Linked DNA regions of Coturnix japonica. The protein of the gene in region 2 interacts with the protein of the main gene of each other region in a biochemical or structural test. Links are inferred from orthologs where the notes say so. Each region holds a gene or a part of one and is shown on either strand. Other genes may lie near its edges.

Evidence for each region.
Region 1: the proteins of DTL (region 2) and KMT5A form a complex in vitro, tested with the Homo sapiens proteins (2 studies listed by BioGRID, with this or other methods). The link is inferred for Coturnix japonica from reciprocal best matches to the Homo sapiens genes DTL and KMT5A.
Region 3: of the proteins of DTL (region 2) and CDKN1A, one has a biochemical effect on the other in vitro, tested with the Homo sapiens proteins (3 studies listed by BioGRID, with this or other methods). The link is inferred for Coturnix japonica from reciprocal best matches to the Homo sapiens genes DTL and CDKN1A.

The regions. Positions count from the first base shown.
Region 1 is NC_029530.1:4,252,923-4,263,201, forward strand, and holds the start of KMT5A (N-lysine methyltransferase KMT5A), read right to left. Parts: upstream 4,817-10,279; 5' UTR 4,812-4,816; coding exon 4,703-4,811; intron 4,421-4,702; coding exon 4,326-4,420; intron 2,536-4,325; coding exon 2,379-2,535; intron 1,289-2,378; coding exon 1,069-1,288; intron 370-1,068; coding exon 285-369; intron 1-284. UniProt on the Homo sapiens protein: Protein-lysine N-methyltransferase that monomethylates both histones and non-histone proteins. Specifically monomethylates 'Lys-20' of histone H4 (H4K20me1).
Region 2 is NC_029518.1:19,447,489-19,457,630, forward strand, and holds the start of DTL (denticleless protein homolog), read right to left. Parts: upstream 5,168-10,142; 5' UTR 5,091-5,167; coding exon 5,033-5,090; intron 4,891-5,032; coding exon 4,765-4,890; intron 3,947-4,764; coding exon 3,848-3,946; intron 3,521-3,847; coding exon 3,459-3,520; intron 3,368-3,458; coding exon 3,247-3,367; intron 2,821-3,246; coding exon 2,755-2,820; intron 2,019-2,754; coding exon 1,903-2,018; intron 1,114-1,902; coding exon 1,040-1,113; intron 1-1,039. Other genes in the region: INTS7 (integrator complex subunit 7), read left to right, coding at 5,334-5,424, 5,518-5,647, 6,724-6,870, 8,058-8,195, 8,560-8,606, 8,765-8,964, 9,913-10,035. UniProt on the Homo sapiens protein: Substrate-specific adapter of a DCX (DDB1-CUL4-X-box) E3 ubiquitin-protein ligase complex required for cell cycle control, DNA damage response and translesion DNA synthesis.
Region 3 is NC_029541.1:1,945,788-1,955,965, forward strand, and holds CDKN1A (cyclin-dependent kinase inhibitor 1), read left to right. Parts: upstream 1-3,686; 5' UTR 3,687-3,808; intron 3,809-4,190; 5' UTR 4,191-4,195; coding exon 4,196-4,577; intron 4,578-4,900; coding exon 4,901-4,950; 3' UTR 4,951-5,859; downstream 5,860-10,178. Other genes in the region: RAB44 (ras-related protein Rab-44), read left to right, coding at 7,167-7,346, 7,421-7,535, 7,652-7,823, 7,970-8,113, 8,346-8,436, 8,519-8,614, 8,850-9,028, 9,359-9,718 and 1 more. UniProt on the Homo sapiens protein: Plays an important role in controlling cell cycle progression and DNA damage-induced G2 arrest. Involved in p53/TP53 mediated inhibition of cellular proliferation in response to DNA damage.

The DNA.
Region 1 (10,279 bases), on a different chromosome or scaffold from region 2:
AACAAGACCAAGTTACTTGTTGACAGCTTTTGCAATTCATTCCATAGCTAACAGGAAATGATTGGCCAATGACATTCAGTTTTTCCACGCCATCCCTCTTTCTAGCAAAACTAAGTTGTAAAGAGATAGAATAAAGAAACATCTCCCAAAAACGCATTATCATTTTGATTCCATCCTAAGAATAACTGGACCAATATTTCTGTATTTAGTAACATTCTTAAACAATACTTCCAGTGAACATTTGCTACCACATTAAGTACTGTTATTTCATCAAGAAGCACTACCTCCAGTTCAGATTTGCTCTTCCTGGAACTTCTTCTGACTGGGTAATAATCTGTCACTTTTCGATTTGGAGCTCTTCCTTGTGTTCTAAGGAATAACAGAAGCAGGAAACACACATTTTAAACTACTTCTGAATTTAAACCTCTAAAACAGGTATCTAAAAATATACATGTTTTTAAGCTTATGTTAAACATTGATCAGTATGAATCTACATTCTTGCCACTACTCTGCACTCCAAGCCAGAAGCTATATACTCTATTACTAATCCTTTTACCACAAGAGAATGAGATGCCACTAAAAAACACATTACAACTTTGAAGTCTCCCCACGTGCCTTCCCAGAAATGTAGGTCATTAAAGCTGCTTGGCCATGAATTCATTAATGTTAGGTTACATTATTTCATTAACATGAGTGAATTTATCAACTCAGCCAGCACTCCCCCAGCTACAATAATCTAACATCGTGCTTCTGACAAGATAATTTGTCCACAGAATAAGTCTTAATGGTTCATAAATTAGTTTTTCTTGCCTTGCTCACTTGTAAAATAGTCACCTGCAAGTCCGATGCATAATTTGAGCACTATTTTGTATTTTTAAATACACTCTTTTTAAAGAAAAAGAATCTTCTTTAAAATCTGTCACCCCAAAAGAGGAGCAAAGCAAGGGAAACAATAATTCCAGGTCTGGCTATAGGTATTTGCCTCTGAAGGTAAAACATACATAAGGGACCCCCCAGTGCAAAACGGCCCAAAGCAGAAAAGCCTCTACGGTTCCAGAAGTCACTTACTTCCTCCTCGGTCCACGTTTTGCTTTAACCACCTTTTTCTGAGCTGGCTTTGCACTGGCCTCACCAGCACAGTCTGAGGGCAGGAGTGTCTTCTCAGTTTCTACGGTTCCTTGGTTTTTTTGATCAGAAGAGAGCACGGAGGTATTGCACCCACTTTCTTTATCTTTCTGGTCTTCTGGTTTCATAGCACCTTCAATTATATTGCCACCAGGCTTTTTTTCTAGTGACAAAGAAATAAAGAACAGCTCTGAATTCAAGAGCTTCTACACCAGAGCACTCTTACATGGATTCCAATAGTTTCTATTTCAAGTTTCTAGTTCTGTCAAATAGGAGAAAGAGGAAGGGAATAAGTGATACAGTCTCTTTCTGCTAAAACCCAGGCAGACTGTCACTGGATTTCCAAGTAGTCACTGCTATGCTATGTATAGAAGGAAGTACAAGAAGAGAAAAGGAACAGGTATAAACAAGAGCAAGTACTTTGTCACAGGTTAAAACAGCAGTGAACCTAACTTGAACTCACACCACAGTCAGTGGTACAAACACAACCTGAGTTCTCAGGTTGCTACTAAGGAATCAACAACGTGCCCTGAAGGAGCAGAAGTCTCTGCACCCCACACTGCTGCAATCAGTCACTGCAGAAGCTGGTGCTAAGGGGCCCATAGCATTCAGACCAATCCACAGGAGCAAAAGGGCAGACACATGAAAAAGGTCTGTTACATTTTCTTGGTTGAGCATATCCTACCTTGAGCTGACCACATCCTCCTCAGCTGTCTGACTTAGAGGTAAAGAGACACATCTTAAAGCTGAATAAAGTTTAAATTTAAAGCCAGTTATCAGGTTTAATTCCCTTGGGCCAAGATGGGTGCTTCAATCTCACTAGAGAAATGAAGCACTGCTGAAAGGCCACTGCTCCGCTGCAGGGAAGCCTAAAGCCATCTTAGTTTTCTTGGTGTAAGCTGGGAGCTACAGCCCATATGTTTCCCAGTGCTCAACAGGGCTTCAAACATCTACTTGCAAATGCATTTGAATCAAAACATTTTAACAAGTTACCACACTTAACAACCACACCTTTAAACACAAACCAGCTGTGGGGTTTTTGTTTGTTTTCTATAATCACCTGGTAAATCTGTGACTTCAGTACTGAAAAAGATAAGGACACCATCATTCTTGTAGACTCTATTTGCTGACAGAGGTGAAGGATTTGGGAAAGCAATTGGGGCAGTGGACCTGCCCAGCTCCTACAGCTCTAAAACTGGGGGCGGGGAGGAAAGCACATCTCACAAAGCAAGCGATCTGAATATCAATCTTACCATCTCCTTTTCTGTTGGTTTCAGTTAGTGCTTTGCCCTGACATTTCCCTTCGTGATACATGACAGAGTTTTCCTCTTGAAGTGGGGAGCGAGCACCAGGAGATTTGTTGGGATTCAGGTAGCTGTAGATTTTGGATTGACCAGTAAACGCATTCTCCTAAAACAGATTCACATACAAAGCACATTACAGAGATGCTGGGAGCCTCCAGTTGGTATCCATAATGTACTGCAAAGACCAAGGCTGACAGCTGACTGCACTAATGCGAGTTACACTGCTTTAATACATCATCCTTGCTACCACTGCTATTTCTATGACATGAAAAATGTATCTAGATTAAACATCCAGAACTTTACTAATGCAAAACTGTCAGTTCAAGAGGACTTTCACGTGCAATGTAGTAGGACAGGATAGCCATAATGAACACCAGTTTCTACCCTGTGAACCCTGAGCTTCTCAAAGAGTGCAAGCCAAAGAAAACACCAATAACAGCAGAAACTGCCCAAGCTTAGCACATACCTCACATAGCCAAGAAAGCATGAGCTTACCCAAGTGCTTATTAGGTGTCAAACGTTACTGCAATTAATGATATGTTCTACTGAGCAGCACACAAGATAGCTTTTGGAAATCCATCTCATTGAGGTTTGGGAGATGAGCAGTACTATCCTTTTATCCATTATATTGTATAAAATGGAGTATTAAAATTGCTGATGGCATAAGAAACTCTGGCACGGTCAAGCAGCACAAGGCTGAGGCTCAAAATCTGGTTCAGGCTGAAGACCCCAGCATGGAGGAGCACAGATACAGCAAAGCTTAAAGGAGTTGTGACACCTCTGCTTTTATGGTACTCTGCAACCAGGCCAAGCTTGCATGTATATGTATGTTGGGCACAGGGATTTGAGCTGGGAGGCCCCAACGTCAGGACAAACAGACACGGCTTGGTCAGAACAAGCTCATCCTGGCTGTATTTTGACTCAATAAAAGCACTTACAGATACTGCAACTCAGTTGAAATAAAAAACAACCAAGTTCCGCATGTATTTTCTTTTAAAACATTCAAAGGCTCCCACTGGATAAGAAGAGTAAAATAGCTCAAATACAGCCATTAGACTAAATAAATGCTCCGATATACCTCATCACACCAGAACTAAAGAAGTAAACAAAACACACAGTACATAAGAAAGTTTTAATTAACAAAAACGAGTATCAGAGTACACAGCTGACACACAAAATCAGATCAGTTAAAAGCTTCAGTAGGAATTAAGATTACAGCAGAACACCCGGGGAAATCAGACAGAGCTTTCCACTCTCACAACGAGATAAGTCCATCAGAAATGATACTTATTTCCAGAAGCAGAGCTTTAAGGATGACGTACAACAACGCTGGGTTTTAACAAACACAAGCAGTGAAACCCAGACTGAGAAATTCTCGCTGTTTAACAGGAGCTCCACATCCAGCTGTCTCTCCTGGAGGGCCAGCAACAATCCCACCTGCCCAGGGAGCTTCGTGCTGTGGGCACACGCTGACAGAGCCACAACAGCACGTTCTCGGGCCGCTCCTTTCCCCGCTCAGCCCCCGCCTGCAGCGCGGCACTCCCGGCTGCCACGTCTTTGTCTGTGCCAGGGTTCAGAGCCTCCACCACACGGATTTTCTCAGCACAGCAGCACGCATTAAGGGCTGCTGAGGATCTCTGGGTGTTGGTGCAATAGCCAAGATTCACCCCAGCTTGGTTTAAATACAAAGGGAAGACCAAGATCGGGCCTGATGCCTCTATGGGAGATAGAGGACAGCGGGGTAACAGAGCAGGGCAGCGCCCGGGCCCAGCCACTGGCTGACAGCAGCTCCCGCCGCTCTCAATGCGGTGAGGACGCACCGAATCCCGCCCCGGTTCCGAACCCCACAACGGGGTCGCACCCACAGCGGGCACCGGGAGCCCGGACGACACTTACCCCACCGGCCCGGGATCGGCCGGGGCTCTTCCTGTCGTTATTCTCGGGGCTCGCCTTGTCCGCGCCGCCCGGCCCGGCCTTGGGCATGTTCCTGCCTAGAAGCGAGGAGGGCAGAGCGCCATGTGAGCCGTGTCCCGCGGTCATGTCCCGTTCCCCGCGTCCTGCGCCATGTTTAAAGGTCTCCGTGCGGCGGCCCAGCCCCTTCCCGTTGAGCTGCGCGCACCGCGCGGGGGAGGAGTCCCGCCAGCTCCGTCGCTCCGCTCCTCCCGGGAGCTCTATCCGCAGCCCAGCACCGCCCGGTCCCGTACCAACCCCCGGCCCTTCCCCACACACCGCCACCCCCCATAGTAACACGCCCCGCCCCGTTACCCGCTCACCTTTAGCCATGCCGTGGCGGCGCGGCGCCCAGCAGCCCCCGCCGAGCGGCTCCCCCGGCACCGCCAACCGCCCCGCGGGGACACGCCGCGCCGCCTGCCGCGCTCCCATTGGCTGAGCCGTTTGTCGGATAACAGCTCCCGCGCAGCTGATTGGTGCGCAGAGCCAAGCCCCGCCCCCTTGGCTGTCAGACTGAAGACAGTGCGAGCTCCCGGGGACGGGGTTTAAATGTGCGTCCCCTGGACGCTGATTGGCCCGTGCGAGGGGCAGCGGGAGCGCTGATTGGCTGCCCCGGGGAAGAACGCCCACCGATTGGCCATCGCATTGGTGAAGTACTTTATCCCAGCACTATGGCAGCAGTGCAGGCATTACTTTCGGAGCGACCAGCGTCTATTAAAGCAATTAAAGGCCGCCACCAGAGGGCAAAGGAAACTGAACAACACTCAGCTCTACGGCAACAAAGGAAACCGGGTCACTCTAATCACTCTAACCGGCCTGGGCTGCCCAGCCCTGTGTAATTCTGTGGTAATTCTGTGTAATAGCAACAACTCACCTCTCCCAGCCGAGAATGACCACAATCTGCTGCTTTTTGTTCTGTTTTAAGCAGATTTCGGGGCTTCTCACGCTTTCCTTTGATTTTACACTCAAACTCTTTGAAATTGTCCTTCTAGAAGCACGGCGACACTTCAGGGCTGTTTAACACAGGTGTCAGTGAGGGCTGCCATGGTGAGAACCGCCCTGCAGATGTACAATGAGCTGAGGAACCATGTTCTCAGTATTCAGCTGTTTGCAGCACCGATGGTCACATCAGTGGCCATAAAACACTCGTCAGGACAAAGCCGTGTTCCACAGGCGTCTGTTCCCCACACAGCTCCATTGTCCCCTTCCTTCTCCTCAGGACAAGTGAGGTAAAGCCGGCCCCGAGGTGCTGCCAGCACAACGAAGCACTCAGAGCTCCCATCTGTGTGCAGGGCCCAGCTGCACAGCTGCACACAGCTGCACACAGCACCGCTCCAGCAGCACCACCCACATCCGTTCCGGGCCTTAGATCCGCCCATAGCGGAGCACGAACCGCCCGGCCGCGGGTCCCCGCCCGCCGCCTCACAGTGCGCATGCGCGTGAGCATCGCGCGCCCCTTCAGCGCGGCCTCAACCCGCGCATGCGCACTACGCGCCCTCACGTCAGCTCGCCCCCTTTTTTTTCCCATCGTGCCTCGCGAGGAGGCAGATCTCGCGAGAGCGCCGCACCCTCGCCGCGGCCGCCATCTTGGAGAGAGCGCGATCACGTGACCGCGGGCTGCCGTTCGCCTCCGCCTTCCCCTCCCCCACCCAGCGGGAACCGGGACCGGATCGTCCTTCCCCACCGCGGCCGCCACCCTGGAGCCGTGCCCGGGCGCTCAGACGTCGCTTTTGGAGGATGCCGGAAACGCTCGTTGGCATCGCTTTAATGACGATTTTGTTCCGGAATTAGCTGCCGAGGAGGCGGGACGAGAAGAGGAGCGGCACGTCACGTGATGGCGGAGCGCACGGAGAACGCGGCGGGACCCGGCAGCGGCGGAGGGAGGGGGGGAAGGACGCGGAACAGCGGCGGACACCACGTGACCTCCTAGATCGCCCGAGCGTGGGGGGGGCCGCGGGTCACGTGGCACGGAGCGCGCGCCAGAGGCGGGTTGGGCGTCACGTGGGTGCGGCGCGCGGCGCTGTCACGTGGTGCGTGGCGGCGGGCGGCCCCAGCCCCCTCCCTTCCCCCTCCCTGTGAGAGGGGAGGGAGGGCCAAGATGGCGGCCGGGAGTTAGAAAGCGGCGAGCGGCGGGGCCGGCGGCGGAGACTTCGGGGACCGGCTGCGGGAGGAGCAGGCACCAGAGAGAGTGAGTGAGTCCGGCTCCGTCGTTCCGCCCGTTCGTCGGTTCCTGGGGTTCGTTTCGCGCTGTGGGCGGCCGCGGTGCCCCGGGGCTCGGTTCCTCTCAGCGCGGTGCGGCCCGCGGGTCGCTCTGAGGCGTGTGGGCCGCGCTCAGCCCGTGCCCGCAGCTCCTCCCGCTCCTCCCGCGGCTCCTGTCGGTCCCGGCTCTCGGTGGGTCGCGCCGCCGCCCCCGTTCGTGGTCCCCGCTGGGCCGGGTGCGGGGGAGGCCGCGGCTCCTCGGTTCAACGCGAACTTCGTGGGCCGGGAGGGATGTGGCGGTTGTGGGGGCGGCTCTGTGCCTGGTAACGCCGCTCACGGGCCGGGCTCGGCCGTTCGCCTTTGTGTGCCCGTTTCGGGGTTATGGGGTGGAACGGACCCCGAGCGGAGCTGTGGGGGGGGGAAGGGGCCGGGTGTGTTCGGTGCCGTTGGGCGCTGCCGTGCCGGGAGGTTCTTCACCCTTCCTCGCGATCCTCATAACCGGGATCCGAAAAGGGAGGAAGGGCTGAAAACAAAAGTAGTGCACGGGACACAATTACGCAGCCAATTCTGGCCCCAACCCGGAAGTTTATGTCCGGAACACGTGTTGGTGAGACTGCGGGCTGCGACCCTCCGGCTGCGGCGGCGGCGGTTCCTCGGGCACGGCCGAGCCCCGGGGCGGCTGTTGGGAGCGGCCGCAGCCTGAGCCCCGCCGAGCGGAGCGGCCCCAGCCCTCGGACAGTTGTAACGCCGAGATCTCAGCACACGGGGATCGCCGGGTGAGTCGTGAGCAGCGTTAAAACGCCCCGATGGTCTGAAGGCGCTGAGAGCGGCCGCGTTGGTTTCTCTTCTGTTTCTCCGCTATTTCGTTTTTAGTTTCACCTGATGGCGTTGTGTGCCTTGAGGTTGTAAGTTGGAGCTCTTGCAGTTTGATAGCCTTGCTGTTGGTGTTTGATAGCGCGGTAATTGAAAGGCTTAAAGAGCAGTTGACACAATTTAGTACATCATTCCAACAGTCAGTGTTATTCTTTTAGGAAAAAAAAGCTCTAGTTAAGAATTAACTCGGTGCTAAACTTTGAAATACCTGAGTTGTCTGGATTAAAATGACAGTGAAAAATACGTAAATGTTTTACAATCTTGTTTTTTTTTTCCTAAATTTGAAGCCTTGAGCTCATGATGTAAAGCAAAGAATTTACTATGGTAGGAATACAAACAATATTATGTTCAGCTTATTTGTCCTGATTCTTCCTGGTACATTACATTAATGCAGTACTATAGTGCAATGCTTTAATACAGTCTTAGAATTAAAGCATGGGGGGTTTGTTTTACTGCCAAGCCAGTTCTTGGGAGTCAGAAGTGGCTGCTTGGAAGTCTGGGCCTTCGGCTCTGCCTGCAACTGACTCCATGGAGAGCTGAGGAACAGTTCTGCTGTTCCAATGCTGTTATTTTCTGATGTGTGGAACCTATCAGGGTAGAAATCCTGTTCTGTGGGATTGGGAGCTGGCAGCCCTTACACTGAAGCTGTGGTTGTAGCATGAGGTTCAGAGAGCTGGGGACTTCTCTGTTGTTCTTAGTACTGCATTGGTATTTGAATGGTATCTCAGATGGCTTCCAGTGGAGTTTGAGACCTGTGTTCCTCAGAAAGCTAATAAAATAGAACAAGAGTTGATTAACAATGTTACTGTCCCAGTCCAAGCAATGGAAGCCAAGCCTGCAGGTTCGGGTTCTCCAGAGGCCAGTTTGGTTGTCTAAAGTATTTGGCCATGACCATATTGTGGTGCTGGTCATGTTCCATTTGTGCAGTTATAGCACTATATTAAGGTTTATAGGTAAGTTCTTCAGCTGTCTAATGTTGTGAAGTACAAATGGCAGACTGAGGACTTGAAAACATTTTCATAGCTCGAGATTCTGACATGTTTTTTTTCTTGGAGGAAGTGGGGAACAGGTTGTTTGACATGAGCTGCAGAACGTCTTTTGTTTTCCTTCTTTCTCCCAAAGCTAAAATGGAGGGAGGGGGAGAGCCAGGTTGGCATGGATACATGTCATAATATTAAGCATGGCATTCTGGTTTTGTTTCTTTAAATCCGAAGTTATTTACATAATACACAGTATAATGAAACTGTCATTTGATCAAAGTTTCAGGCACTGTTCTTTGGTTGTATAGGACCTTACAAAACATGGGGTTTATTCTAATAGCCCTCCTTGAAAAGGCAGCAGCATCTTTCTCTTAACACAAAGAAAATAGCTGGGATGTGGCTGCTGTTGAAATGTTATAAATACGTGTTGTTTAGTTTATCACACAGGTTGGATCTTGCTCTGTGATACAGAACGGCCTGAGGAGACGCAGCCAGCATTGCCTGTGAGCTCCTGCTTGCTCAGAGCAGTTCTTCCACTGGTGAAACGCTCAGGGAACAGCTTGTAATATTCACAACTTTTGTTATAAATATTTTCTTCTGGGGTTCTTAAAAATATGGCGTGCAGGTCCTTTATATAGTATTGCCAGAGCTGAGCTGCGGAGCTTGATAAAGTTGCTTTCGCTTCTGTTAACTGAGAAGCCTCCTACCTTGCAAGATTATGGGGCTGTTTCAGCTTGATAACAGTTGAGGCTCCATTAGTGCATGGCACAGAAAATAAACTACAGAGGTGCTGCTTCTGCTGGAACTTTATCATGTCTTTGCTGAACCAAAAGTCTATGTAAGAAAGTAGTGGAAGGGGTGGTGGTGTGATGGGGCACAGAACTTTCCCCAAATCGGGTGCCAAGAATTCAGTGCTTCTAATGTAAAAAATCTAGGAGTTGAGAATTGCTTTTGTTCTGGTTTGAAACAATGTCACTTTGTTCATGGCATACAGAAACAAAATAAATGAAACGAGTTAGTCCAACTTTCCTCCTCTGGGCTGTCTGACAGATGAGCAAACAATTGCTGTTGTTTCTCTTAATGGTTGCTAACGATCCAGCCAAAACCAATTTTTAAGACTGTGAAAATAGAGGTTGGGATGGTAGAAATATATCTGGAGGTTTCCTATGCTGTGTTAGGGAAGTGGTGTCTCTAATTGGATGTACTCTGCAATTCCAGAGTTACTATCCCAGCCTCTATTGCTGCTCATCTAGCATAAATTTAGAAGTTGTACTTGAATTACTTGCTTCAATGAGCGATTTTTGGGGTTTATTTGTTTGCAATATTGTAACATTTTTTAGGTGCTAAACATGTGATTGAGGTAATGTCCAACTTGACTTCAAACAGTCTCCACAGGTTGTGGCATCATCTCAGGACAGTTGAAGATGCATTTCTGGCTTTTTTTCTTGTGCTGGTTTTGCTATGAGATGGGGACTCACCAAATCCTTATGTTGCAAGAGAGACTGAAAGTTGTTGTGTTCCTTTGTCTTTTTGCTTTAAGTAAGCAGCCCCAAGCTTGTGATTTCCCACGCCTGTGTCCTGTGTGGAGGGGGGTATTTATCCCTCAGCCCAGTCCCAGCCATGCCTCCTTCCACAGATAACTGGAGCTACATGCAGACTCAATAATGATGCAGCTGGCAGTGTTTTTCGTTTGTATGTTTAGATGGTTTTTCTGACAGCGTTGAGCAAAGATGTTTGTGCTGTACAGAAGTGTCAGCTCTCTGCCAAGTTCATACTGTGATGTTGTGCTTGCAGAGTGTGTCGGAGTCTTCAGTTTGAGGGAGTAACCATTGTAAGCTTCTAAACTAA
Region 2 (10,142 bases):
TGAGGAAGCAGCATTGTTTTGTGTAACTAATACAACACAAAACACAAGCCCACAAGCCAACTTTCCTCAACTAGTAAAAGACATAACAAAGATGCTTTTATATTCCATTTTTTTTAAATGAAGCCCTTTGAGGTTTCTCTTGCTCTCTAGAAGCAAGTCTCTATCATGAACCATGGGATGGAGAGTCAATATTATGTGTCTCAGAAAGGCTCTGGCCACAGTGAAATGTGAAAGACCTGAAAGATTAATCTCTGTACTGAAAAGCAAGATATTTTCCTGAGCTCCAAGATGCTGCAACAGATCTGGCATCAAAAAGAATGTATCCTTTGTAACTCAACACAACATTTTCTCAAGTACACCCATACAAATTTAAAGCCCCAGTCTCCTCCTCACATCCCAAAACAGCTCTCTGCCTAACAATAGTCTGCTTACATTACATACATTACTGCATCCACATTGCCCCATAGCTATACTAAAGTTAATATTTACCATTTAGGCACAGCAGTCTTGGGTAAGGAAGGAAAGAACTATTCAGCTTTGGCAATGCAAGCTGGCAGCAGGTTCTGCTAACTCTATTCTAATACTAGGGATACCCCAAAAGTAATGCATTCTATTTATTATGTCGATTCATGTCAGAGAAGGACATTGGAGTCCAAATGGTGGATGCGAGCACACTGAGGAGGTAAGAGGTATGTTTCAGCAGTGGCGACAGCAACAGTGGGTCACCTCTACTGGTGCAGATACTTATGAGCACAGCATGCAGGATCCTGCTCATCACTGGGAAAAATGCATAGCTAATGGCAGTGACTATGTTGAAAAGTAGTGTTTTGTAGATGAGAATTTGCTCTATCAAATAGTGTTACTGTGCTCTATGTACCTGTTATAGTTTTCATGGAAATAAACAGGAGGCATTACTTTTGGAGCAATCTATGTAGTAATGGTAGCTTTGTGAGCCACTGTGACCTTAGACAAAGAACCTCCCAATCTTTCTGTGTCACTAAGAAAAACAAACAGAAAAGCATGTATCTTCCTTTCTTACCCATCAACAGCTCCTGCAGAGATAAGGGTATGTTCATCTTGAAGCAGCACCACAGTTACACTCTGCTGGAAATCCTTGAGGAGAGAAAAAAGAACTTCGTTTCCTTTCATGGTCAACAGAGTCTTGCTGCTAAGCTGAAGGCCAAGTGAATATTGAGGACACCACCTCTCCAGCAATCTACACTTTTCTTGTCCATAGGCCAGCCTGTGTTTTGCTCTACAATTAGCCTGAGCTTCTCAGGCTCCCTCCTGCTAGAGTCTGCTTTGTGTTCTCCAGCAAGTTGCTCATTGCAGGCAGGAGAAGGTGGAAAACTAGATTTCATTTAGGAGACAATAATCCTTTAACCCTGCTCAGCATTGTGGTTAAAGGACCACAGGAATTGGTCAGCATAAGATTACACCTCACAGGTCAGAAAAAAGAGAGTTCCATGAGAGCATTTAATAGATGGAATAAGAGATCTTATTCAGGAATGAGAGGCTGTTGTTTATGTGGTCACATTTGGGAGGTGTACTGTGGAGGGAATAAAAAGGGAAAGAAAGGAAAAAAAATTGGAGCCCTTCCTTTCCCACCCTTCAAAAGCAGAAAATGTAGCCACTCATTTTCTCTCTGGAAAAAACAGATGTATTTTCACATGGTATTTACACAAAGACAGCTCTGATGGCATGTAAGTTATTAGAAAACAATGTCTAAAATTAGCCAGAGCAAGTGACCATGACACAAAAACCTAACTCCGCAAAAACAAATTAGAGTGTTTACAGAATTCAAGCCAAATATTTCTCACTGCAATTACTTAGGAAAGCCACTATGCATGACACTGTCCTCAGAGCAGAGGTCTCTGTTCTGCCTGTCTTCCTGGCACCTACCACTAAGGGAGCAAGTCCTCTTGTGTTCTGCCTCTTCTTCCTCAGCTTGGAAGGAGTCTGCTTGTCAACCACGTTGTGTGCCCCACTGATTTGATTCACCTGCCTGTAAAATCCATCTGAAAGACAAATACATACAAATTGTCAGTTTCCACACCTATTTGATTTTGCCACCATTTTCACGTTAACGGGCAGCAGCTTGGAATAAATCCTAAAAAGCAGCTGAGACAAGCTTTCAAAATCAGTAATGTATTCTGAAAACATCAACTGCTAGTTATGTACCAAAATGATGAGACACATTCCAGAAAACTGCGGGTGGCAGGGAACTGAGAAGTACGAGGGCATGAACTGACTGGTGAGGGAGAAGCTCCAGGAAGCAGAAGAGTAGAACCATCACCCTGCATGTAGGCGTTCCTGCAACACATTCAGTTTCTCCCAGGACTCACAATCTCCTTTGCTCCTTCCTATTCTGGTAGGAAACTTTCCAGCATTGATTAACCCCCTCCCAATGACTCTGAGTGAATCGCTCTCACCCAGCCCATCTCAGTGTTGTCCTACACAATGATGTGTTTTGTACCACCTTATCTCTTAAACAATACACAGGGTTATATCTGGGCAACACAGACATCAAGCTGCCAATCTGAGACAAAGTGAAAAAACCTGTTAGACACAGTCTGATCTATTCTACCTATTCCGTCCTCTCACTGTACTAAAGCAGTACCTAATTACCTGGCAATCTTCTTACCGAAGTATCACCTATCTGTAATCAAAAGCATGACTCCAGTAAGTACATTGGAGCACTATTTCTACAGGAGCTAAGGAGCTTTATTAATACATATCTGAAAGTTCAATTACCTTTCTTGTTGCATCTGGTGTCCCAAACCATGATGTTTCCATCTCTGCCTCCAGTACAGAAAACAGCTGAGAGAGAGAGAGATAGAGCACTATTAATTCCCAAGAGCTGAGGAACTGAATCCAGCACAATGCCATCTATGTGCCCCTAGAACTACAACAATCAGGCCTTTGGTGTTTTCTGTCTAGATTCTTTATGGTCTTTCCTTAGTGCTACTGTAGGAAAAAGTGCTTACAAAGAGTATTTCCAGATTTATGTTTGTAAGTGAGGACTGAGTGACTTCAATGCCATGTCTTAAAACTGCCTGAGATCAGAGACACGCAGACAGTATCAGATCACTGCAAGGTTCCAACACTACTTAGGTCACTGCTCAGCCCACCTGTACTTTGTGCAACCAACAGATTCCAAAGCCCTTTTTTAGCCCCGTAAGAATAGAAGTGGTAATTGGAGAGAAGAAGGGGGAAAAAAAGACAAGAAGAAATGCCAACATTTACCTTTCTCAAACCTCGAAAAAGCAACTGACTTGAGGCTACACTGGTGACCTTTGCATATGCCAAGCAGCTCCCCAGCTCTCACATCCCACACCTTGGCTGTCTGATCTCCTGAAGCAGTGACCTTCAGAGGATAGAATAAAAAGCTTTCATCATATTCTGCACGCCATTGCCAAAACATTAAGAATAAACTTAGATAGGAAAAGGCTTCTTACAATCCTGTGCTCTCCTGGTACCCAGGCAAGATCAAAGACAGCATTTGAGTGAGCCTGCCATTCTGACAAGAGAACAAAAGCCAAAATTAGTTCAGTGCATATGTCCAGTACAGCATGACAGTATTTTGCAGGAGGCTAACAAACATCAGACATCAGAATCCGAAAACAGGTTGCTCCTTTGTAGCTTCCCTCAGGCAAGGCAAACACTCAACCATTCAACTCCCATTGCTTTTGTAAGAGCACACTCACACGGCTGCTTTGTAAACAGGACTCTGCAAAGTATATAAAAAGATGCAAGTACTTCCCAGATTGAGTTTAAACAGCCTGCATAAAGCTTTCCTTGATTCCAGCGCATCCCATACTTCAAATGAAGATCACTGAACACTTACCCTTAAAGATCACTTTGGTGGTATTCTGAGCTTCAGTATCATACAGTCTGACAAACCCTTCTTCATTTGCAACTGCCAATATGTGCTCAAAATTTGGGGCTGAAAAGAAAATTGAAACGTAATCATCTATTACAAGGCTGATCCACAATTGTGCCTCTTCCCTTTGTGAGGGGAGTACAGGCACTTTAAGTGGGGTGCACACCTAATGGACAGCTAGAAAAAATAAAGTAACATTTACACAGTGATCTCCATTCTCAAAATGCACAAATATTGCCAAGCATTTATTTCTAGACATTCCGTTCTTAAACTGTAGTATATAGGAAATAGAGCGGGTCAAGGAGCAGCTTCTAAGACAATGCCCTCTTTCACCAGCACTGATGGAAGTTCCTTTCCTCTATCTTTATGACCTGTCCGTCCACTTGGATGTTTCCCAAGTGCTTTCCTTGGAAGTGAGATGGAGGAGCAGCCTTGGAGAAAGGCCTTTAGGGTCTGATTGCTGGATGGTCCTGCACGGAGCCAGGACTTAGACTCGATGATTCTTATGGGTCTTTTGCAATTTGGGACAGGTCAGCGATTCTGTAATAACCCCATGGCACAACCAGAGTACCACACAACAGCGCTCTGCCCTAAAGGTCTCCAAGACCTGCCCAGGGGCCCCGGGCAACCTGATCTAGTAAAGGTGTATGTTTGGTGGCCCTGCCAGGCAGGGGGGTTGGAACTACATGATCCTTGAGGTCCCTTCCAACCCGGGTCATTCTGTGATTCTGTGAAGACCCAACATGTAGGACGTGGAGGTGCACGTTCCCTGTTATCAGCACACGCTAACACTGAAGCTTGCCAAAAGATCTTGAAACATTCAACAGAAACGAGTTTACAGCGGGACCCACACACCGCGGCATCCCAGGATGCGGCCGTACCTGAAGAAAAGCTGCATCCGAAGGGAGGGACCGGCATTCCGATTTCTCCGTAGGAGAGGTGATCATCTTCCCTACTGCACCTATAGCCATCCAAGAGATGCTGCAGTGGAAGCGGTGAGGACTGACCTGAAACGAGACAAGCGGACCGTGACTGCACCGGCCACCGCGATCTGGGAAGCGAAGGGCCCGTGGGCCGCACACCCCGCTCCCAACTGCCGTGCGGGCTCCCTGTACGGCAGCCCCCGGTGCCCGTAAGCTCGGTACTCACGGTACTCGCGGTACTCACGGTGCCCGGCGGCACGGCGGAGCAGCGCGCGGCACAGCATGGCCGAGAGCGCGCGGAACGCCACCAAACTCCCGCCACCGACCGACCCGCCAAACGCACCTCCACTCCCTCATTGGACAACCCGTGGCGCGCCGCGCCGCCCTCTCTCCGCTCGGATTGGTCAGCGGAGGAGAGGCGGGGCGGGAACGGCTGTTGGCGCGCGTAGAGGAGTGCGCGTGCGCCGCAGGGTCGGTGTGGCGGGAGGGTGGCCGCGCATGCGCGCTGGGCGGCAGCGGGGTTCGCGATGGCGGCGGCGGGGAAGTCGTTCCTGGCGGACGCGGGGTACGGAGAGCAGGAGCTGGACGCCAACTCCGCCCTCATGGAGCTGGACAAGGGTGAGGAGCGGGATGGGGGAGCGCGGGGATGGGGTGTCGAGAGAGGCCCGGTTGGTGCCGCTGTAGCAGTGAGCGTTGTGGTGCTCTGTGCAGGCCTGCGGTCCGGTAAGCTCGGCGAGCAGTGCGAGGCCGTGGTGCGCTTCCCGCGGCTCTTCCAGAAGTATCCATTCCCCATCCTCATCAACTCCGCCTTCCTGAAGCTGGCCGACGTGTTCAGGGTCGGGTGAGTACCGTGCTTTAGTTCCGCTAGAGGCAGTTCTGTGTAGGTGCCTTCGGAATCGTAACAAATAAATGAATGGCCCAATTCTGCAAGTCCCATCTGTGAGGAAAGTGAATGCCTCAAGTTGAGCTTTTCCGTGTGCCCTGTGCCGAACCGAGCCGGGTCTGCTGTGCAGCTGCTCTCAGTAGCACACAGACAGTGAGCCAGCAGTGCGCTCTGGCAGCCCGGAAAGCAAATGGGATCCTGGGCTCCATCAGGAGAGGGGTGGTCAGCAGGGATAGGGAGGTGATTGTCCCTCTCTACTCGGCTCTTGTGAGGCCCCATCTGTTGTACTGTGTCCAGGTGTGGAGCCCTCAGTACAAAAAAGACATGGAGATTTTGGAAAGGGTCCAGAGGAGAGCCACGAAGATGATCAGGGGGCTGGAGCACCTCCCCTATGAGGACAGGCTGAGGGAGTTGGGTTTGTTCAGCCTGGAGAAGAGAAGGTTGCAGCCTTTCAATACCTGAAGGGAACTTACTCCCAGGAGGGGAGTAAGCTCTTCGAAAGGGCTGACAATAGCAGGACTAGGGGAAATGGTTTTAAGTTAAAAGATGGAAGATTTAGGTTGGATGTTAGGGAGAAGTTCTTCACTAGGAGAGTGGTTAGGTCCTGGAACAGGCTGCCCAGGGAGGTTGTGGATGCCCCGTCCTTGGAGGTGTTCAAGGCCAGGTTGGATGGGGCCCTGGGCAACCTGATCTAGTAAAGGTGTATGTTTGGTGGCCCTGCCAGGCAGGGGGTTGGAACTACATGATCCTTGAGGTCCCTTCCAACCCGGGTCATTCTGTGATTCTGTGATTTGTTGGACCCACATTCATTGTATGTTATTTGTGCTGTGAGGCAGTAAGAAATTTGTCACTTGTGCTACATATAGCAGTGCGTTCATATTCTATCCTTAACTGGTAGCCTGCTTGAGCCATTTCTAAAGCACAGAGCTTCTTTGTTGTGATTAAATATGTTTTTCGTAATGCATTTAGTTTAGAAGTTTTTGAATCTGTATTATCAAACAGCTCAGTAAAGATAAACGTGTGTCTTCTGATAGGAACAACTTCCTGAGGCTGTGTGTGCTGAAAGTTACGCAGCAGAGCGAGAAGCACCTGGAGAAGATCCTCAACGTGGATGAGTTTGTGAAGAGAGTTTTCTCAGTGATTCATAGCAATGATCCTGTTGCTCGGGCTATCACGCTTCGGTAAGTAGCACAGAAGTGAACCTAACTTACTTCAAAGCTGTAGCTCTTTTATTGGTGTGCTAATCTGTTCTAACAAAATCAGCTACTTCTCAGAGTGTAGGAGCTGTCTTCCACATTCATCATAAAGGCAAAAGCGGGGACATCTCATAGGGAGTGAGCAGGAGATGTGTAAGTGGAAGAACAAGGTTTTTGCATGCTTGTATTTGTGATGTGAGAGTTGTGCAGATGGCTCCAGGTGAGATGGGAATCCAGTGGGTAGAAAAAACCACACTTCAAGATATCTTTAATGTTGCTGTCCTGCTGCTTTGGTCTCTGTATCTCTAACAGTACCCAGCATTATAATCTTTTCTTCATCTTCCTTCAACTCCTGTGTGACTGAATTAAAATGTGAACAGAGCACTCCTTCTCCCTTGCTTATTCATTTCTCCTATCTATTCAGAACTGTTTCTGTTCTCACTGTTGAAAGATGAGAGTCATTAACAGAGGTTTGGTTTATTATCTCACACACCCATTTCTTTTTATATTTTTGAGATTATGGTTTTATGCTTTAGGATCTCAAAAAAACAAATGATGAGAGACTGATGTTTGTTTGCTTCATTATAGTCACTCTCTAGAATTTTCCCTTTCTTAGTATGTAGTTAATTTTGACTTCTCAGACATGTATTGATTCAATTTGAAGATTTAATGGGAAGAATAGAAAAGGTAGAAACAACTTTGTAAATGCTATTTTAATTCTCCTAAACTACCAAAATGACTGACTTTTAAATCGCATGATATATATTGATATATATTTGTGTATGCGTGCAGTAATGCATTTTAGCATTAAATCTGTTGCGCTGATATCAGAGCTTGGGCACAAAAGTGTCTTTAAAAATGGTGTACCCCATGCCATGGTGTGCTCCTCACTTTATAACAATTGTTTTCCACTAATGATACTCCAATATGGTTACTTTTTTGTTGTTTGTTTTCATTAAATGACTAACAGAAGGCTGATACCAGCATAATCATGTTTTAGCAATATGCCTGCTGTCAGTGTGTCTTTGTTTCTGTAGTGAATGTAAAAGAGCCCTCATTTATATAAAAGCCAAGACTTTAAGCCAGTCCTTCTGTGCTTCCCTTTGATTTCATCTTGCATTACTTCATAGTCAGTCATTGTGCTTGCTCCTTTTCCTGATCTGTGTCTGTAGGATGTTGGGCAGCATGGCGTCTATCATTCCAGAAAGGAAGAATGCACATCACAGTATTCGCCAGAGTTTGGATTCCCATGATAATGTGGAAGTTGAAGCTGCTATTTTTGCTGCTGCCAACTTTTCTGCACAGTCAAAGTAAGGTGGAATTTTTTTCTCCCCCGTTTTTCACATTGCAAAGAATAACAGCTCCACTGTTGCTTACTGAACTTAGTATTTTCTTCAGTGGTGGTAGAACATCCTTCACAGCTGTTATATGTCATGATAATAAGTGTAAGGAAGTCTGAATTCGAGTCTAAAAAAACCTATGAAACTTATTTGAAAGCTTCCATTTTATTATTTGATTATGCACCTGTGTAGGGATTCTAAAATAACTAAGTTTTGGCAAGCATTCTTGTGGTGGTTTTTATTATTAAAATTCATTGTTTGGTTCTTCTGTTGATTTTTTTTTTTTAGCCTGTTTGCTTTCATTTCACTTGGTGCTTTGTCTTTTTCTCTACAGGGACTTTGCTGCAGGAATATGTAACAAAATCAGTGAGATGATTCAAGGTATGTACAAATACTGAGTGATGATATCCAGGGCTTCTTTTTTATACATAAGTATATAAAATACCTCTATACCATTGCCCTTACCCCAAATAATGTGTGTCTTAGTACCAGAAAAAGCCAGTACAATAGCCTGACAGTGTCTCTGTTCCCTGTTACAGGTTTAGCCACACCTGTGGACTTGAAATTGAAGTTGATCCCTATTCTACAGCACATGCATCATGATGCTAGCCTGGCCTCCAGCTCCCGGCAGCTGCTTCAGCAGTTGGTAACATCATATCCTTCCACCAAGATGGTCATTGTTACTCTGCACACGTTCACTCTGCTTGCTGCTTCTTCTTTGGTTGACATTCCTAAACAGGTAATTCTTCTTTCAAATGAATCTACAAAGCATGTTTAAAACAAAACAGGGATTATTGAGGATAAACTGTGATCTTTATCTTGAAAGACTGAGTCTATTGCTACAGCTTATGTTTTTAAACCAAGTCGTGAGAAAGCATTGATGAGCAAAATATAATGCTTTTATGTTTAGATAATGGGCTTTGTGATTATGATTCATATAGCAAGTATGAATGCACAGTGACATTTGAGGTTCAACTAATTATAGTAAAGTCATAAAAATCTATTGACCTTTTAATCCATACATTTGTGGCAGGCTGGTGTCTATTTGACTTACTGCATTGATTTGTTTAAAACTTCTTGGGATGGCTGACTTTCAGGAATAGTACTGAATTTGAGCTAGCTGAGACAACATTCAAGCACTTCACATGCTCTTTATGAAAGTAAGCATGGGCTTACAGGCTGTATTTCTGCAACACAGCCGCCTATGTTGTACATATAAATCAGATAGCCAGGGTGTGTGGATTTCTTATTATTTTTTTCTGAGACAGAGTGTATATCTGTGCTGCTCTCTGTTGACTGCAGATCATGCAGAAATGCCTGAAATACTTGCTACTAGTGTAATCGTGACAATGCAAAGTGTTGTCTGAGGTCCTTGGGAATGTTTTTACCAGTGTTTCTATGAGAGCAGGAATAGCACTTAGGGCTTCTCGGGGCATGTGGGGAGGTGGCAGAGAGGTGTGCTTGAAGAGACAGGAGTGAAGGATGGCAGAAAGCAGCTGTTAGATTGATTCCACTTGCCAAGGAACTGCAGTGCAGTCTTTGCCATGTGGGAAGCAAGCAGGCAGGAAACACATGGCAGTTTCATATGAGTATTTTCAAAATTCCTTCATGAATATTCTTGAATATTTATATAATATCTTTATAGTACAATCTCGTCCCCTTAAATGATGAATTTATCTTGTTACAGGTCCAGCTTTTGTTGCAGTACTTGAAGAATGACCCCAGAAAGGCTGTGAAGAGGCTTGCAATCCAAGATTTAAAGCTGTTGGCTAACAAGATGCCACATACATGGAGTAGAGAAAATATTCAGGTTAATACATTTTTAGGCAAAAGTTTGTTATGAAGCTTTGCAATTAGTTGTGGAATTCCTTCCAAGAGAACAATTTGTGAGGGAAGGAAGCAAGAATATGTGCCTCT
Region 3 (10,178 bases), on a different chromosome or scaffold from region 2:
CACTCTGCTGGGTCCGGTGTCTCATCAAAATGCCTTCATAAATGGAGCAAACAAGGGCTGTATATGGCAGGGAAACAGTCGATTAACACGATCCAAGTTCTTTTAGGGGCAGAGTTAATCAAGCATTCAGCGTTTTGTCATTCTTGTCTTTCTTTCCTGGGAAAATCCTATTAGTTATAAAATCACTTAATTGGGCACTTCAAAGAGCTGATGGGAAAACAGCCTTCGCCGGGATCTAAACGCCATTCAGCTGAACACTGGGCTCATTTAGACTTCTGCTGGAGCGTGAGTGTTCCATGAAGAGCCTTCATGTGTCCCCCCCCCTTGAAAGAAAAAAGCTTGTTAGCAGAGATAACAAGAAATCATAGAGATGTGCATCTTGCTGAGGACTGGATACCTGTGGTGTTGTTTTATGGCTTGGTCCCCATTGGATCCCCATGCTGCCCCTATCCAAAGTGATGCTCTTATCTTAAGTGAACGTGGAGCTCTGCTGCTTGGAGCCTGGTGGTTTCTCAGTGCTGAGGGGTACTGAGGAGGGGGACTGTTTGCTTTGTGCCCTATGGGGGATGGATTCAGCCCCAGCCCCTCCTCAGGGAGCTGTGCCAAGGCTCTGTGTCACAGATCTAGCACAGGGCAGGAGGGCTGTGGGGCAGAAGGGCCCTTTGCTGGGAGCACTGGTCAAAGGGGCTTTGTATGGAGGCATGGAAAAACTGCCAACAAACAGACACGGTGATCTCAGTCCCCTCATTATCAGGTTGGGCAGAAATGGAGGCTTTTGTAGAGCTTGAGTTCACGGTGCCTTGAAGAGTAGCAGCGTGTCACTGCCTCCATCATCCCGGCTGGCACAAAGGGGCCCGTCTGTCTGAGCCCTTCATCTTCCCTCTACGTGGATCCATCCAGTGGGAACGCTGTGCTTCCCATCAACCCGTGTCTCACTGCACCTTCCAGCACCACCAGAAGCTCAATCACTGCTGCCTTCCATCCAGCCCCCAGCACCGGGGTGCTGCTCATTGCATCCCCATTGAGGACGAAACTCCATATCAGAGCTGTGCCTGGGCATGCAACTCCACCACCGAGCTGGGCTGACTCACAGCTCCCTGCATGCAGTGAATAATGTTTGCATACGTGTCTGTGTCTGACGCTACTTCCTCTGCCCTCGGCATCCACTGGGACCTACCTGGGGATAGGAAACACTCCCAAAGGATTTTCCCAGCCCTGATAACAAACATCCTGTCTTTTTTTCAGTGCACTTTGAAGGCACTTTGAAGACAGAAGATTTACATTCGTTGAGTATATCCCTTTTTATTGCTATCAGCCCTTAGGATCTATTTGTCAAGGAGGGATTCTTCCACAGTGACGCCATGGGGAGCTGGGACAGCCCTTGTAATGGGTGAGGATGGGTTGGGGGGTGACAGCTCTGATGTGGGGCTGCACCCAGAGGGGAGAAGGAAGCGCTGCCCCCAGCACCGCTCCTGGTTCCCATCCTGCCTGGTCCCCAGTTGGACCTTCCTACCCTGCATTGTGGGACTGAACATTGTGAGTCACCTTTGGGCTTTTCCTTAGTTCCTGTATCACTTTCCGCATTAATCACACTTTTTTTTCCCCCTTTTTGCTGATGATGCCACTGCAGACTCGACCACGCACTGCCTGACCCAGACCCTGACGCTATTCCTCTCTCCACTTCCCATTTCCTCTGCAAGTTGGTTCCACACCAGCATCTCAACCCCACCCCATCCCCATCCCACCCCCATCTCAACCTCATCCCATCCCAACCCCATCCCATCCCCACCTTAACCCTATCCCAACCCCATCCCCATCTCAACCCCATCCCAACTTTATCCCCATCCCCATCACAACCTTATCCCATCCCCACTTTAACCCAATCCCAACCCCATCCCACCCCCATCTCATCCTCATCCCATCCCAACCCCATCCCTGCCCCCATCTCATCCCCACCTTAACCCCATCCCAACCCCAACCCCATTTCAAACCCATCCCAACTTTATCCCCATCCTCATCTCAACCTCATCCCAACCCCAACCCCATCTCAAACCCATCCCAACTTTATCCCCAACCCCATCTCAACCTCATCCCAACCTCATCCCAACCCCATCCCAACCCCAACCCCATCTCAAACCCATCCCAACCCCATCTCAACCTCATCCCAACCCCATCCCCATCTCAACCCCATCCCATCCCAACCCCATCCCAACTTTATCCCATCCCCATCTCAACCTCATCCCATCCCCACCTTAACCCCATCCCATCCTCAACCCCATCATCATCCCAACTTGATCCTATCCCCATCCCATCTCATCTCCATCCCAAGCCCATACCAACACCCTCCCATCACCATCCCAACTTCATTCCCAACCCCATCTCATCCCCATCTCATCCCAACTTCATCCCCAACACCATTCCATCCCTAACCCCATTCCATCTCATCCCCATCCCAACCCCATCTCATCCCAACCCCACCTCAACCCTATCCCATCCCAACTTTATCCCATCCCCATCTCATTCTAACTTCATTCCCAACCCCATCCCATCCCCATCCCCATTCCACCTCCATCCCAACCCCATCCCATCCCCAACTCCATTCCATCTCCATCCCATCCTATCCCCATGCACACCACAGAGGTTGCCCTTCCACGTGCTGGCTCCCCCTGGGATGCAGCCAAACCGATTGCATTCATCTCACATCGCTTTGCTTCATTCTTGCCTCACTGCAGCATCGCTCCTGCTCTTCCTCCATCAGTCATCATTGCAGATCACACTCCTCCATCAGCTTCAAGAAGCTGCCAGCTCTGACAGCCTCATTCTCACCCCACATCCAGAAGGATCCAACCCCAAAGCGACCACCTTGGCCTGGCCCAGAGCTGCAGGAGGAACTGATGCTGGACAACACTGCTGTGTGACGCACTGCCTGCAGCCGGACATGTCCAAACATATCCTTTATCTGCTGGGAAATGCTGGTTCAGCCTGGGAACGGATGCATTGGGGGGCTTTGCACGGGGGGCTTTGCACACTGCAGGGCTCAGCTGCAGCCCACCAGCTGCAGGCTCACCCAGCTTAGTGCACCGCCTGCCTTTGTGCTGCCATCTCCTTGCACCCCAAGCACTGTTTGCTGCCCAAACCCAATTCCTTCCCCCTATGCCCCCTGCAGCCCACCCAGCTGAGCCCTGGCACTGTGCTGTAACCCTGACGGGGAGCTGCACAGCGCTCAGACCTCCCCTGCTGTGTTTTGGGGGGGGTCATTTTGCAGCGGGGCCACACGTCCCTGCATGCAACCCGCAGCTTTGCTGCATGCAGGACATGCACGGGCTTGTTCCTGCTGCTTGCTGACCTCAGGCCAACCGGAGCTCCCCAGCCCAGCTGCATTGCTGGGGGGTCCGCTGGTAGAGCAGAGCCCACCTCGGGGGCAAAGCACCCAGGGGTGGTCCCATAGGACCCCCACCCCAACCCCCGTCACTCCCCATCATTGCAGCATCCCGTGGTGACCCAGGAGGGGCCCTTTTTACTCTTCAATTGGCAAAGCCGTATTGAAGACCCTCCCGCATCCTTCGCGTTGTATGGGGGGGGGGGGGGTCCCGCATCGCACAGTAGGCGACGACCCGCTTTCCATATGGGGGTCCGTGCAGCCCTATGGGGGGGGGCACTGAACCCCCCCCCCGATAACAGCTGCTCTGCGGTGGGGCGGGGGGGGGAAATCCCGAGCGACGCCGTGAGGCCCCTCCCACCCTCCCTGCCCCGATATAAAGGGCGGAGTGCGGGGCTGGGAACCGCAGAGAGCGACGGGGAGTGTGGGGTGAGTGCGGTGCTGGTGTCGGTACTGGGGGGGGGAAAAGAAGGGAAGGGAGAGAAACCCCAATGGGGGGTGATTGGGGACGGGGTCGGGGGGGCTTTGACAGCTCCGCTCCTCCTGTGGGCCGGACCGGGTCGGACCGGGACATGCTGGGACTTGTCTTGCTCTGAGCTCACCCCGCTGATAGGAAGCGGCTATTTTTAAGTGACCCATCCCGGGGGGGGGCAGAGCGGTCCCTCATCTATTAACGCAGTTCTGTCCGGGTTCAATGACCCCCTGTGCCAGCCTGCCCTATAGCCGAGATCATTAACACCCCAGGGGTCCTGGGGGCTCCCATTATATGCACTGGACTCATATCCCCCCCTCTATATCCCCCTCCCCACAGCCGCAATGCCGCTGGCGCAGAGCAGGACCGGCCCGATGCCGTGCAGCAGCAAAGCGTGCAGGAACCTCTTCGGCCCCGTGGACCACGAACAGATCCGGAACGACTTCGAGGAGCTGCTGAGGCAACAGCTGGAAGAAGCTCAGAGACGTTGGAACTTCAACTTCGAGACGGAGACGCCCCTGGATGGGCACTTCAAGTGGGAGAGGGTCCTGATGGCCGAGCAGCCCCCCCGGGTAGAGCCCGGCAGCAACGGGAGCTCAGCACCACGCAGGGTCCCCAGTAAGGATGGTGTCGGTGGGGCTCGTTGTGGGGCAGCCCAGCAGAGCTCGGAGCAAACCAGGGTCGGTTCTGCACAGCACTTGAAGCGGGGGCAGACCACTGTTAAAGGTGAGTGGTGGAGGGGGGATGCCCCTCATGCCATGGGACCACCCTTAGCACAGAACCATCTTTGGAGGGGAGAGGCAGCAGAACCAGCCTCGGGTGTCCCATAGGTAAAAAATACCCCCATATGGATCACCAACCTCAGTTCCCATGGCCCAAAAGTGGCTCAGCAGTGGGGATGTGATGGGACCAAGTGATGCACAGCCCCATAAATGCGGGGCTTTGAAGCTATGAGCCCACCTGGCTGGGGCTGGGGTTGGGGTTGGGGTTGGGTTGCTGCCCCCTCCTTCTGCTCCTGATACATCCCAACTTCTCTTCTTGCCCTGCAGACTTCTACAGCTCCAAGAGAAGAGTCGTCCATGACAAGCCCAGGCTGTGACTGCTGCTGGGGATGGATGCTGATGCTGCCGTGCCCTGGAGGCTGTCGTGGCTCTTTCCCTGCCCTGCACTGTCTGTACAAAGCGATACCGAGTCTATAGTTCCCTATTTATGAGTAGCTCTGGGGTCCTGAGTGGCCCATGCTGTGTGCAATGTATAGGAGGAGCCCACGGGAAGGACTAAGGACTGGAATGGAGCAGGTGGGGCTGAGGGTGTCTCCTGCCCCGTGCTGGTGTTGCCCAGCAGCATCCTGCTGTCTCATGGAGCAGCCCCATGGCCCTCCCTGCTGTGGATCACTGGGTGTGAGCCCTGCATGGAGCTGCTCCCAGTGTGACTCAGTGATGTGTTGGTCACACAGTGGTGACAAATGTACTTGGAGGTGTGTACCCTTGAGGCCGGCACAGCTCGGGAGGCACTGGGCTGCTCCAGGCTGTGCTGCCCCATTGGGTTCTTGGCGTGGTGTTGGCTGGCTGTGCATCGTGCAATGCTGACATTAAGCTGGATGTTGAGCTGCTGCTTGGCACTGCCAGCAGGGGCTGCCCCTGCAAGAAGTGCCAGCTTTTCTCCTGGACTATTTCCTACTCCAGAGCCTGACCTGGCTCCTGCTGTTGTCTCTGTGACCCAGGGATGCCCTATAGGACACAGCCCTGCTCTGGGTGCTGTCGGATCTCAGCACTTTCACTGGTTTCCCCCTCTCTGTATTGGGATTGGGATTGGCACGGGGTGTTCCCATGTAGAGGAGGAGGGTGCTGCTCCCAGCTCATACCGTGATGCACTTTGCTGTCAGAGATGCTGGCAAGTGCCCAGCATTCAATGTTTATTTATGAAAACACTGTTTTAAGGCTTCTTGGAAGGGGAAAGAACCTGTTTGTCTGCGAGTGTAACTGAATAAACACTTGTCTGGTGGAAAGAGAAGGGGTGGCTGTTAATGGGAATGGCTGTTAATGGGAATGACTGCTGTGGGGTGTGCTATGGGGGGTGGGGGGATGTTATGTGTGGGTTGGGGGTTGCTTTAAGGGTGCAGCCACAGAGGTGCAGTTTGATGCTGGTGGGGAAGGAGCTGTGATGTATCTGTGGGGGGGTTTGGGATGTCCAGCTGTGGGATGGATCCAGCAGGACAGGGATGGGGGCTCCTGCTGTGGGTTGGGGTCTATGGGTGGGTTGGGATCCATTGCTGAGCCCTTTGTGGTGCTGCAAACAGGAAACGTGTGCACGTACCGGCAGTTGAGTGCAACCCCAAAGCGGAAGGCTGCCTTGAGTAAGAGAGAGAATGACGGTGTGGGGCCGGGAGGTGCACAGCAGCGATGCAGGCTGTGTGAGGCTGATGACCCCCCAGCCCTGGGGAGCCCCACAGTGTAACCAGGCAGCACCACCCCAAAACTGAGAGCACGTGGAGAAGGTAAGGTTTGCTCAAGGGGGGGTTTGGTGTTAGGGATGCAGGGCTGATGCCTGGCCCTATAACCATCAGTGGTGACCCTCAGGCTGCCCCTCAGCAGGAAGCATCTCAGACAGCAGCCAGTGTTGAAGTGCCTTTGGTGTTTATTTTACAGCTTTTTCCGTGTTTGGTGCCTCTGTTTCATGGCACGCAATGGGCTCCGCTCGCTCTGTGGGGCAGGGGGAGGCACCGAGGGGACTTCTTGCATCATAACCTCTCCCATAACCCCCCTAAATGCTGCTGCTTTGGCTCTTAGAGGGGCTGGGACCATAGAATGGGGGTAACCCGCATCCTGACCCCCCCCTCCCCTTCCTTGGGGCTCTGCTGACCTCATAGGATGTCCCCTCCCCCCACTGATGCTGTGGGGTGGTGCTGCATGGGAGTCGAAGGGGATGGGGACCATTTTGGGGCCCATTCCTTATTTCCAGTTCACTTTAGGGCTTGGCATTGCCAGAGGAAGGGTGGGACAATGTGGGGGGTTCCCCCTCTCTCACTTCTAGTCCCAATTTGGGCACATTTCAGAGCCATGAGGTCGAGGTGGGGGTGTGAATAGAAACCTCCCCGAGGTCACAGGAGGTGACTCAGGGCTGTGAAAGCTGGAGGAGGGATGTTCAGAGATGCTGAGGAGCTCCTGGAGCCTCCATCACCCCCCACCTCCCTGCACTGTGCCATCCAAGCAGAGAGAAGTGCCTGTTTTCCTATTGCCAAACCCACTCAGGTTTCACCCTTCTGGGCTGTTTAATGGGTTTCTGGTTGCCCTCAGCAGATCCCCACTGTGAGCCATGGCTGAGCAGCGTGTGGGCTCCAAAGGGCGGCGGATGGGATCCAGCCGGAGACGGCAGCTCCGTAAGGATGCGGGTGAAGAACCACCCTGGGCAGCAGCTGTGATGCAGAGAGTCCAGGATGTCATCCAGGAGCAGCGTGGGGATGCACAGGGCTTCGTCACTCGTGGAGATATGCAGGTAAGGGATGGGGCTGGGGGAGATTGTGGGGTTCATTCCAACCCAGCCGTCCTATGGATCTGTTTTGTTGTTAGAAACTGCAGGGGGAGGTTATTCCATGCAGCACAGAGGAGCTGGAGCTGCTCTTTGATGGGATGGATGCTGCTGGCACCGGGCAGCTGAGCATTGAGGAATTCACCTCTGGGCTCCGTAAGTGACTCCATGCAGCCAGTGCTTTGCAATGGGGATGCTCATGGGCACCATGGCTGTGAGCACATGGGGTTGGAAGCATTGAGATCTGGGTGCTGAGGGCTGTATTTCTGCAGGGCAGTTCCTGTGTTCCCAAAAAATCAGTAGGGATCATCGCAGATGGAAAGCAGCATCACGGAGGAGCTGTTTGGTCCTCGCCAGCCCAACGTGGGAGGAGATGGACAGCGAGGAGAAGAAACACTTTGCAGCCTTCATGGAGCAGCTGGGAGTGGATGACAGATGGGAAGAGTGAGCAGCCAGCTGAGCACCCCTGGGTGCTTCCCATAGCTTAGTGCCCATGTGGGCACAGCTACCCCCAGGACCACACATCCCCTATCATAGGGACCCCCGTATGATCCATCCTTTCTTGCTGCCCTGCTCCTCTCTCCCGGCAGGCAGCAGATCTGGCAGCTCTGGGCCAAGCTGAGGAAGGATGAGCCCCAACTGATGGGTAACTTGGAGGCTTTCCTGGCCAAGATGAGGCACCGCATCCAAGAAGTCCGGAGCAAGAAGGAGGCCTTGGAGGAGACCCTCAACAAGTGAGTCCCTGCCAGGGAGGTGCACCCAAGGAGGAAGAAATGCACCCTCCCAGCACAGAGGATTCATGTTATGTTCATGTTTAGGCTCTATCTACAGCCATGCACCCCATGGCCCTGCTGGGTGAATGAACCTCCGGGCTGTCTGTGGGTCTGGTGGGCACTGCAGGGTCCCCAGACCCACATCTATATAGCACAGTTTGACCCTCCCAACCTCCCACCTCCCCCCCACCAGGCGTGTGGCTGAGCACAACCAGGAGGTGCAGCAGCTCTGTGAGGCCCTGGAGCAGCAGATCCAAGAGGAACGGCAGCGAATGGAGCAGGAGGTGGGGGATCCATCCACCCCTAACCTGAGTTACCCAGCACCCCAAACCCAACTGGGTGCTGATGTTCCCATTGCCATCACAGAGCACGGCCCGGAGCCGCCTGCACTGTGCAGTGCTGCAGCGAGCACTGGATGCAAGAGATAAGGACATGCAGCGCTTGGTTGCAGCACAGCAGGAGGTGAGCTGACCCCAAATACTGGTGGTGTAATTCTTTATGTTGCATTCACTGCTTTGGCCCAAACCTGGATGCTCTCTGCAGTTCATCACATTGCACCTCCATCTCTCGCTTTACCTCCATCCCTGTGATCCCTTCCATCCTTGGGAGCACTTAAACTGAGTCTCCCCACCCAAAGCCCTGGGGAAAACCCATCCCCAGCCCTCAAGCAGGGGGTGACCCTGCTGTGTGCCTGCAGCTGGAAGCACAGTGCCGCAGTCTGAGCAGCACACAACGAGCTGCCAGTGCTGAGAACCAGCAGCTGGAGGAGAACAACCGTGCATTGGAGGAGCAGCTGCAGCACATCCATGCACAGCTGCAGCAGACACATGAGTGCCTGAGGGCTGCCATGGCTCAGCAAAGGGCTGAGGAAGCGCGGTGAGTTGCACATCTGGCTGCCTTATGGGAGCTGCAGCTGATGGGGAATGAGCTGGATGGGTTTCAGCCATCTCTTGGCTTTGGGATGGTGTGAAAGGTGTGGGGATGTGGTGTGATTTGGTATGATTGGGAAGAGATGTCAGGATTATCAGCACTGTGCTGATAGGGCCCTCCCAGCGTTGGGCCAAGGACATGGGTGAGCTCTGCTGGCTCAGTCCTGAGCAGAGCAAGGCCCATCACTGCTTCCAGGGCTGCAAAGGACCCCAAAGAGGGGATGGAGGAGGTGAAGGGATGCAGTTTCCATTGTGACCCCATGCTCTGTGCTTACAGGGATGGAGTGGAGGCAGAGCTGCTCGGTGAGACACTGCCATCCCCGCAGGTACTGCAGGTGTGCACAGTGTGGGGGTGTTGGGATGTCACACAGAGCAGCATTGTGCTGTGTGGGTGCTTGGGAAGGGGTGAGCAGCAGCAGACAGGGCTGCTACCCCCATATCTTGGGTGGGAATATGTGGAAACTGAGGCAGGAAAGCTGAGAATCGTTTCAAATGGATACAAGACTCTGCCAAGCTGGTTTTGTTCCCCTCTTTTCCTCTCTTTGCTACAGATGAGTCCAGAGCAGCCCTGCTTGGAGATGCAGGTCGGGTTGGGTTCCCAGGGCAGCGAGCCCAAGCGCAGGAGCACCCACCATGTGTAAGGAGTCCTTACACCCACATCCTCCACCTTCCCCTGGCCCAAATCCTTTCCTTTCAGTGCTCCATCCCATTGCTGGGCTCCGTCCCCCCCCATTGCTGGGCTCTGTCCCCCCCCCATTGCTGCTCTCATCCCATTTTCTGCTCTTCTCAGGGTTTGGGAAAAGCCCCCATCAGACACAAACCCATCACGGCTGCTCTCTGTAGAAGAGGATCCCTTCCCTGAATTCCTGAAAGAGGAACGTTTTTCTGGCCAAGGCTCTTTGCTAAGAGAGATGAACGATGCAATAGCGGCTCTGAGCACGCAGAAGCTGCAAGCACTGGGAGCTGCTGGGAGCTGCACACACGATGATGCTGAGCCCCAAACAGAACCATCTGGTTCGGCCCCACGAGGGACCCACATCAGTCACAAGGCGTTGGAAGAAGACCTGAGAGAGGGACGAGATGCAGCTGAGCTTCGT